Linked DNA regions of Oryzias latipes. The protein of the gene in region 1 binds, or shares a complex with, the protein of each later gene. Links are inferred from orthologs where the notes say so. Each region holds a gene or a part of one and is shown on either strand. Other genes may lie near its edges.

Evidence for each region.
Region 2: the proteins of cep152 (region 1) and cep63 are in contact, whole or in part, in a crystal structure (PDB 6CSU), measured with the Homo sapiens proteins. The link is inferred for Oryzias latipes from reciprocal best matches to the Homo sapiens genes CEP152 and CEP63. Residues at the interface, in NP_001181927.1 of Homo sapiens: Gly1261, Ala1262, Glu1265, Leu1266, Gln1269, Tyr1270, Lys1272, Ala1273, Lys1276, Ile1277, Asp1280, Met1281, Tyr1284, Glu1287, Ser1288, Arg1291, Ala1292, Met1295, Ala1298, Arg1302; in NP_001340037.1 of Homo sapiens: Phe666, Glu669, Glu670, Arg673, Ile677, Arg680, Leu681, His684, Glu687, Leu688, Glu691, Ser692, Thr695, Phe699.

What each region holds. Positions count from the first base shown.
Region 1 is NC_019864.2:15,114,982-15,120,031, reverse strand, and holds the start of cep152 (centrosomal protein of 152 kDa), read right to left. Parts: upstream 3,303-5,050; 5' UTR 3,124-3,302; coding exon 3,082-3,123; exon of another isoform or gene 2,779-3,081; intron 2,587-2,778; coding exon 2,479-2,586; intron 2,077-2,478; exon of another isoform or gene 1,821-2,076; coding exon of another isoform or gene 1,686-1,820; intron 1,215-1,685; coding exon 1,105-1,214; intron 1,024-1,104; coding exon 975-1,023; intron 889-974; coding exon 601-888; intron 79-600; coding exon 1-78. Other genes in the region: galk2 (N-acetylgalactosamine kinase), read left to right, coding at 3,762-3,811, 3,880-3,980, 4,112-4,235, 4,324-4,417, 4,517-4,663, 4,737-4,835, 4,922-5,050. UniProt on the Homo sapiens protein: Necessary for centrosome duplication; the function also seems to involve CEP63, CDK5RAP2 and WDR62 through a stepwise assembled complex at the centrosome that recruits CDK2 required for centriole duplication.
Region 2 is NC_019862.2:2,686,827-2,690,779, forward strand, and holds the start of cep63 (centrosomal protein of 63 kDa), read right to left. Parts: upstream 2,801-3,953; 5' UTR 2,538-2,800; intron 1-2,537. Other genes in the region: uncharacterized protein LOC111947333, read left to right, coding at 3,657-3,953. UniProt on the Homo sapiens protein: Required for normal spindle assembly.

The DNA.
Region 1 (5,050 bases):
GTTCAACATCTTTGGTAGATGGGCGGGATGCTGTGGATTGTAGCCGACCTTATACTGATTTAGACGCTGATCCTCCTGCTCACATTTCAAATTTTGTCAAAAAAACACAGAAAAATATTTTAAAAAAAATGGGAGAAAATTACAAATAATTTAAAGATATATTGTAAAACATTTACCCATAAAAACTTCAGTTTTCAATAGGCATCATTTTACTTTCTTCTCCATTTTTTCCACAAAAAAATATGAGAAAAGCTTATATATTGAAACATTATGAGCATTTTTGGCATCATTTCATTTTTTATGTTATGTTTGTAGATATAATTTCCTAAATCTTTGTATAATTTAACAACTGAGATTACTTGTAATTCACTCAAAAAGATAGAACTAAGCTCCACTGACTGCTGGTAAAAATAAAAAAAACCTTGTTATTTTGTTTGTTTTCAGAAACACAGACAAACTGTAACTAAGATCTCCAAAGGGTAAAAATATATTCACACATGTTGAGTATATTTTATCTTCGGCAGAAATCATCACACCGTTGACTTCAGTCTCATCTGTTTGACAAGCCACCTCAGCAGCCTCTCTTTGTTGATCACTTACTTGAAAGAGGTTTCTGGAGTTGTGCTCATCTGTGTAGTCCTCTACTCCATTATATTCCATGTGATTTTCAGTTCTTTCCGGGGCTGACTGCGGCTCAAAGTGAATGGGAAAATCCTCGTTCTCTGTACATCGGTTTGTGTATTCATAATCCTCCGGTCCAAACTGATGTTCCTGAGTCCAGGTATGAGGCAGGGGCTGATTTTGACTGTGATGCCCATTAATATCAGCTACTCCATCTTTATAGGCATAATCACCATGCGAGCTTCCATCATAGTCATCCTCAAAGTTCTCCAAAAAGTAACAAAATGATAATTTCATCTTTTGTTTAATTGGTGAAAGCAAAAATCTATCAAGAGGGAAAAGTGAGGTCTTACCTGTGTGTGGGTGTGATCTGACCACTGCTGGTTCCACTGAGCCCGTGGGCTGAAAAACCAAACATGCATCAAACAACAGAGCAATTTACCTTTAATCGGTGGCACTAATGTGTCCACCGCATGCATTTACCTGTTGGCTGCGTTTTTATTGCTGTAGGTGGAGCACTCCAGCTCAGGGGAGGAGGAGTCCACGCTGTCCTCCAGCATGTCATCAGGCAGGTCTGTGAGCAGCTGGTGCAACTGCAGAGAAAACACAGCACAGATATGAGTCACTGAGGTTGCCAAGCAACAGAGTTATAAAGTAACACAGGTTGAAAAACTAAAGCACACGGAGGTAATCAATGACAGGCACAGAAGCTGCTTTTATATTTGCACAAGATCAATCACACTGAAGCAGCAGTTAAACTCATATTTTCATAAAAGCTCATTTGAAGTTACACTGTAACTACAGCAAAATAATAATATTTTGATTTATTTTGTATTTTTAAACATTTGAATTATGATTGTTTATACTTGATGAGCTAAGAAAGGGAGATACAAGCCTCAACCTCCACTAACAGCTTCTCAACAATGTGAAACCGTTACTGGTTAATCATTATTTGCAATAAAGTTCTGTATAAGACCAACTATTGAGAAGATTTTGTTTAAAATAGCTTCTCTCTGTGCTGGAAAAAAAGAGACGATTAAACAAGCAGTGTCTGCTGGACTTACTTCCCACAAGGATTGTTGAATGGTCCTCAAATCATCCACAGCTTCCACAATAGAAGGACCCATTTGTGCAATTATAAATTTAAAAAACTGACTACAGAGACAACTCTTCTTCTGCACGAGCTCTAACACAACCATCAGCAGTCTGAGTGTCTGGAGAGATGACCTTCTGCTGGAAATATTCAAAACCTGCCTGGCATGCCGTCAGCTCCCTGTGTTATTCCTCTGTTTTGCTCCAAAAAGAACTCCATTGTTCAGACCAAACATATAGCAAGGTTAACTGGAGCAGAAACATTCCGATTACTGGTGGTCAACATTTCCCACTTCACTGGCTTGCTTGAAATTGGGCTAAAATTTCAAAATAAACTTGCAGAGTCCTGCCAAATTCATTACAATTTTAGCTAAAGCATTTCTGCTTTGTTCCGTGTAGTGGGGTCAGGCATGAGAGGCCAAATAACTTAAATAGAGACAGCAGAGCTTGTTTAAGCTTATGACACACCTGAAAGGAGGTCCTCCCTGGAGCCAATAATAGCTCACAGTCATGGCTCAACAGATTGAGGCGTGAGAAATAAATGACAGTTTGAATATGATTTTAAAGATGCAGTCCGATGCTTTTGTTGATCTTATTTTCACCCACCCTTAATATCTAACAAATGAGGTTAGCTTTCATATTATCATTTTATATCACCTCTTGCTCCCTTGATTTTAAAGATGCAGTCCGATGCTTTTGTTGATCTAGTTTTCATCCACCCTTTACATCTCACAAATGAGGTTAGCTTTCACATTATTATGTCACCTCTTGCTCCCTTGCGTAGTCCTCTTGGTCATATTCTTCATCATCATGCTGAGTTTGGAGAGCAGCACTGTCAAAGTCTATGGACATGCTGCAAAACTTGCTGGTGGGCTGGGAAAAGAGAAGCAAAACAGGAATAAGGTGGCTATCCTGCCTTTCAAACACAGCAGTCTAGACTATGTTTTTCTTCAGTCACCAGCTGAGCTACGTGCTAGTGTCAAAGGTTAACTACTAGTATTGGTAAAAACAATGAGCGTCACCTCACACAGGTGAAGGTAGAAGCTAACCAATGTAACGTATTACCTGATTGAAGATAAAAAATGTATTTTGTCTAGCTGGACATCCTCCTATTTGAACGCGTTAAAACAAACGCTACCAACAAACAAGGCTATCTGAAGATGCGGCTCCAGTTAGCTAAAACTACGTGTGGCATTCTGTTTATCTAAGTACATGTTGAAACATAAATGGCTACACGAAATAATATTTAAAAAAATAGAAACGCGTCTAACGTAACGTTGCAAGCATTTAACAACACTGTAAAGTAAGAAATGTACGAAGCTAACCGTGGCTAAGTAGCACACAGATTAGCATCCTCTTTAAACGGACCCACGGTCTGTGGACTCGCCCAGTTTGAAAACTCCCGCGCATCAGCGGCGCCCAGCCATTGCAAAGTTTCACCGTACTGCAGAAAACCCACAACCTCTAACTTTCACTGTCTCGTGTTGCCGTTGGTCGCATAATTTTAATGTTACCCATTTTTGCCGTTTGAAATTTAGGTAGCAAAAAACAAAGCAGATACTTTGGTTCCTAAACCCGGAACAAAAAAAGAACAGTTGCCATAGTAACACAAACTAATTTTTTGGGAAGTGTAGTCCAGTCAATATTAAAAAAAAATGGTATTTTTAATGACTTATTTTATTTTTTTGTCTTTTTTAAGTCAAAAATATTTTCACTAAAGTTTTTTTTTCATTGACTATAACTATGTGTTTACCTTAAAAAAAATTGATATAAATACACTCCTCTGTGTACGGTGGCTCAGTTGGGACAAAAACACGTTAGCTCCGCCCCCGACTTCCGCGTTTAGCGTTGAATCCTGTTCCAGCATCAGTCTTTCCCGTGATAATCACGCTTTCCTGAGTAAGAGTTTTCGCTTTTAGCTGACTGGAGTTCAGCGGTTTCAGATCCAGGATTTTAGTCAGCTGACAGGACACAGGCTGCTCACCACTTCCCCAATTTAACGTCGTGGGACCACGTAAACACCCAGATTATTCCAAATCAGGTGAAAAATGGCCTCAAACCCACCCAAGATAAAGACATCGATTGCTACAAATCAAAGGTGAGATGACAAATGAGGACAGTTGAGGGAAAGAGGCAACCGTGTGGCTCTTATTTACTTGAATATAGTGTCATCTGCAGGTTGAAAAACCTGAAAAATGCATTTGAAGCCAAGTATGGAGAATCCCCACTATTCTACACGTGTGCACCTGGAAGAGTTAATCTAATAGGTAAACTAAATGCTCCATTTTTCTGTGTTATCATCATAACTAAATAAATTGATGTTTTTTTCATTAATACAAGTCATTTGATCTCACTGGGACACTTTTCTTTCTTTATTTTCTTGTAATACATTTACCAGGGGAACACATTGATTACTGCGGTTATTCTGTACTGCCGATGGCCATTGAGCAGAACATCCTTGCAGCTGTGTCTGTAAACAACTCTGGAATGATCCAACTGGCAAACATAAATCCTCAATATAAGTAAGAGACCAGATATCATTTTAATTCTTCCTAAATGGTTGATTGTTAGGATTTCTTGCATTACAAACGTGTTTTTGGTCATCTGCAGAGATTATAAAGTGTCATGCTCAGAGGACATCGCCATAAACAAAGACGACCCAAAGTGGTATTATTATTTTCTCTGTGGAGTTAAAGGTATCCAGGTATGATGTGTTTGTTATGTAATGTCTGAAATAATTGACCTGGAATGAAAATAAATATTTGTACAGTTTTTGTTGCTGTGAGTGTTTTTTTTCCTGCAGGAGAAGTTTGGGATCCCTCGTTTGGCTGGGATGTCCTGTGTGGTAGATGGATCTATTCCTCCCAGTTCCGGTCTATCGAGCTCAAGTGCTTTGGTTTGTTGTGCTGGTCTGTTAACTATGGAAGCCAATCAGAAATCCCTTTCCAAGGTAAAATCCTTACTAAGAGGATAAATACGAAGATACTTCGAAGCCCTCTGTTTATGTGCATTTATTCCTCCAGGTGGCTCTTGCTGAGATATGTGCCAAATGTGAGCGCTACATCGGTACAGAGGGGGGAGGCATGGACCAGTCCATTTCTTTTCTGGCAGAAAAAGGCACTGTGTGTACCTGTTTTCCATCAGTCTTTTTTCCTTAAAAGGTAACCCTTAAACAAAAGTGTGCATTAATTTTTGCATCTATTGTCAGGCAAAGCTGATAGAGTTTCACCCTCTGCGGGCCACTGATGTGAAGCTTCCAGAGGGAGCTGTATTTGTGATTTCCAACTGTTGCAAGGAGATGAACAAAGCCGCCTCCTCTCACTACAACATCCGTGTG
Region 2 (3,953 bases), on another chromosome or scaffold:
ACAAAATGATGACTACACCCTTACTTTGACGTGTTCTCCCTACCATGACAAAGGTGGAAAGATTTCATGTAATCCATGGACACCACTGAAGATCACAAATCATTCAAGAAAAAAGGTTCAGAGCACTCTCTAGTGGGTCTAGATGACCCAACTCCCAGGATAGCAAAAGGGTTAAAACTAATCTGGTCTGTTGATCTGCTAAGAGAGTTTCGGGATGCGCCTTCACTGTAGATCAGCAGGGTTTGCAGAGCTTGGTGTCGATGGATGCTGCGTGACCAAAGATTATCCATAAGTTGATTCTGCAGTACAGACATCTAGTCTGGTCAAAGAGAAATACACAAGAAATCCTTTTTTATTATAAAGATTTGGTTTTAAGTTTCTATGAGGCTTAAAAAGATGATTTTACTTGGATATGATAAGAACAAAATACTTAAATTCAACTTTTACTGAATTCAAATAAGAGTATGGTAAACATTGTTAAAATTAATTTCTGCAAAAAATAAGTCACATGATAAAATTAACATTTAACACTAATGTAGTCTGATTAATAAAACAATTTAAAAATAGTTTATAGTTATTATATAACAATTTTTTTACATTCTCAAAAGAGGGTAGGTACTTGTACACAGTTATATTTAGTATAAAAACTTATGAGAAGTAAATAAACAAAAAAAAGTATTTTTATTAACCATTTTGGGGTACTCTACAAACCCACAAAGTTACTACAGTTATTATATATTTTACAACCTGTAAGGAAGTTATAAAATATGTCCGTTAAACTAGCTAAAGCTATTGTGTAATTCTTGAGAACTTCATCTTGTAGAATTTTGTTTTATTTTTTGAGAGATTGAATACATACGGAGCCTGTTACCGCCCTAACCCCTAACTTTTAAAAAAAACTATACAGTGCAGCATTATATAATGCCTTGAATTTTAAAAGCTATTCAGACACCGTGCTATCCTAGGCACTTTAACATTGGGAGTTGGGTCATCTAGACCCACTAGACCAGTTCTTCTCAAATAGTGGGGCTAGGCGGCGCGAAGCGATGTCAGGGGGGGGCGCGCGGTGATGGTGGTTTATGCACAGGTAATACGGGCAATCGTCCGGTGCGCAAATTTAACATGGGGGCGGTGGTGACAGCGGCTCAGTGCTTGGAAAAATATCTGGTCCACTATTCGGTTCCTGTTGTCTGTTATATCACAGAGTTTGTAACAGCCTGAAACCTTTGAATTCCCGTCCCTGCAGCTGCTCCTATCTCGTGTCACACGGGGCTGCATGAGTGAGAACGAAAGGGGAGGGGTGGGGTGTGACTTTGTGATGATTATTTATAAGTCCACTGTCTTCTGAAGATAAACACAAAACATTTTAAAAACATTTAAATACATTTTTCTGCAAAAATTACAGACGCAATGCATTGTTGTCTATATTTCCCGATCTAATGAGCGTCGAGGCACACCGGTTTTTCGCAGAGACATCTGGGAAATTTCTGCGGGGCACTCAATTTGGGAATTGTAGGTTCAGACAGCACTTCAAAATGGTAAGATGCACTATATAACGGTTAGGGTGGGATTTCGGACATAGGCTCTGTCAAAAACCAGTGTGCTCACTACGTAAATCGGTACCATAGACCACAATGCATTGCGTCAAAGCAATTTTTACCCCAAATAAAGTATATTTTAAACAAACCATCAAAGTTTTTATCTTCAGAACACAGTGGATTCATAAATACGATGGAGTTTTCAGTTTACAAAAAAAAAAAATTAAAATTACGATTTTTAATTCGTAAATTTCAGAGAAAGAAAGTCATAACTGTTAAATTACGAGATTTTAAGACGTTATGAGATTTTATCTCGTTAATTTATGAGTTTTATCTCATAAATTCACAACTTAAAATCTCGTAAATTTTTGAGTTTTTTTCTCGTAAATCTACAAGAAAAAGTCATAGTAAAAAACAAGTAAAAACACATAAGTTTTCTGTTTATCGGAGCCTAGCTTGAAGACGAAATATGTGGAGACTTTTGTGAAGCTTTATTTCCAGATAAGTTTCAAAAACAAACAAATTTTGAGCCTTTTGACGACTTAAAATCACATTTTTGTTAGTGTAGCCAGCCTTCCAGGGTTCGGTGTCGGTAAAGCGGAGTTAACTAAGGAGCTCAGAGACTCGTTTGGGTGTAGAGGACCGCTACTTTATTTTCCTTTTCAATCACAAACCCAGAAGTCCATTTGTCACCTTACGTCATGAACCTGTCATGCGCAGAACACCAATGTTTAAACGAAATGTCCCGTTTCAACATAAAACAACAAAGATGAATGAAAATAGTCTGTTAAATTAGCATAAGCATGTTGAAAATGCCAAAAAAGTGCACACAGACCTCTAAACATCCTCCGTGTCTTCAATGCATTGTAATGAAATATACACAGACAGAAATGTGAAAGTATCTGCTGTAAATCCAAGAATGACTTATCAGATGAATTATTATTTCGTGGGAACATTTTTTTTTTTTACCCATGTCAGGTCACGGGCTCCGTACAGTACCTGTTGTGTCTCAGCCGGACTATAAGGACTCCATGCCTGGATCACTACTCCTCTCTGAGTCAGTCACGCGACACGTTACTTACTACGCGACAGGACATTCGCCGACGCGGCTGGAATGATCTACGGCTAAGACTCGTCCAAATTCACAGCCGTTAACATCCAGACAACCCGCGCGACGAATGACCCGGCCAACGTCGACCGTGAAGGCCGCGGCCACTGAAAGACGCAGCCCCCGAATTCGGACACACCCTCCATTTTCATCTCAATACAGATTATATTTACATATTTTGACTAAGTGTAAGCGTGGCTCGTTGGTCTAGGGGTATGATTCTCGCTTTGGGTGCGAGAGGTCCCGGGTTCAAATCCCGGACGAGCCCAAAGGTTTTTATTGTCCACTGCCCAAAGCTTTTTATTTTCCACTAAGAAAAACATTTTTATCCAAGTGGTTGGAGTGGATATTTTTTATTTTATTTATTTATTTATTTTTTTAACTTTTTACCATTTCTAAGTTAGTCATCTCCTTCGACCAGCCCTCCACCGGCCTAACAGCAAACACAGGAACAAAGACGGAGGCTTGGCTCAGCTTCCCCAGCTGTTGTTGGGCGAGTCCTGGGCGGTGACAGACGTCTCTGTTCCGCCCCCAGCCGCGGCGGACTCTCAACAGGCGGCAGACGCGACAGTTCATTTACAGTTCTTGACTGCAGGCAGACTGAGCCACTTGGAAAAACCTGATCTGAACGAGAACTAGAAGCATTTCACTCAAGTAAGTATAACATTTGATTTATTTGAACATGACTCCTCTTCTTCTGTCAGTGGTAAACTTCTTTTTATACTGTAACTTTTTACTATTAAAAGGACATGTTATTATCCAAGAAAATAATGAGTTTTCTTATCTTGATGTGAAATGGTTGCATTCACAAGAATTAAAATATCAAAAATTCCTCTAATTCATTTTTTCTCCTTAGAGTAGAAATAAATACAGCTGTCATTCCTGGGTAAAGTTTGACCAAAGGACAATCTTTTCATGTTTCTTCCCAGCCGGGCCCGTGGGACCGTCTGGGACCTTCTGCAGCTCCTCTGTGGCTCTCAGCAGGAACATCGCCGTCGTCCATCTGGACCATGGTTCTGTGTGAGGACAGCGACTGCACCGTCTGCTTCTTCCCTTACTCCCGCATGGACAGGATCCCCCGGGTGCTTCACTGCAGACATACCTTCTGTGAACTGTGTCTGGAGGCCATGCAGCAGGTCAGGAGCAGCTACCTGGCGCTGGCCTGCCCGCTGTGCCGCAGGGTCACCTGCATTGACCGAGGCCTCAGCCTGCAGGAAGCTCTGTGGGTGGACAGCAGGCAGTGGGAGCAGATCGCAGAGGCAGGAGAGGAGGACGACACACTCAAACTGGAAGGAGAGGAGCTGGAG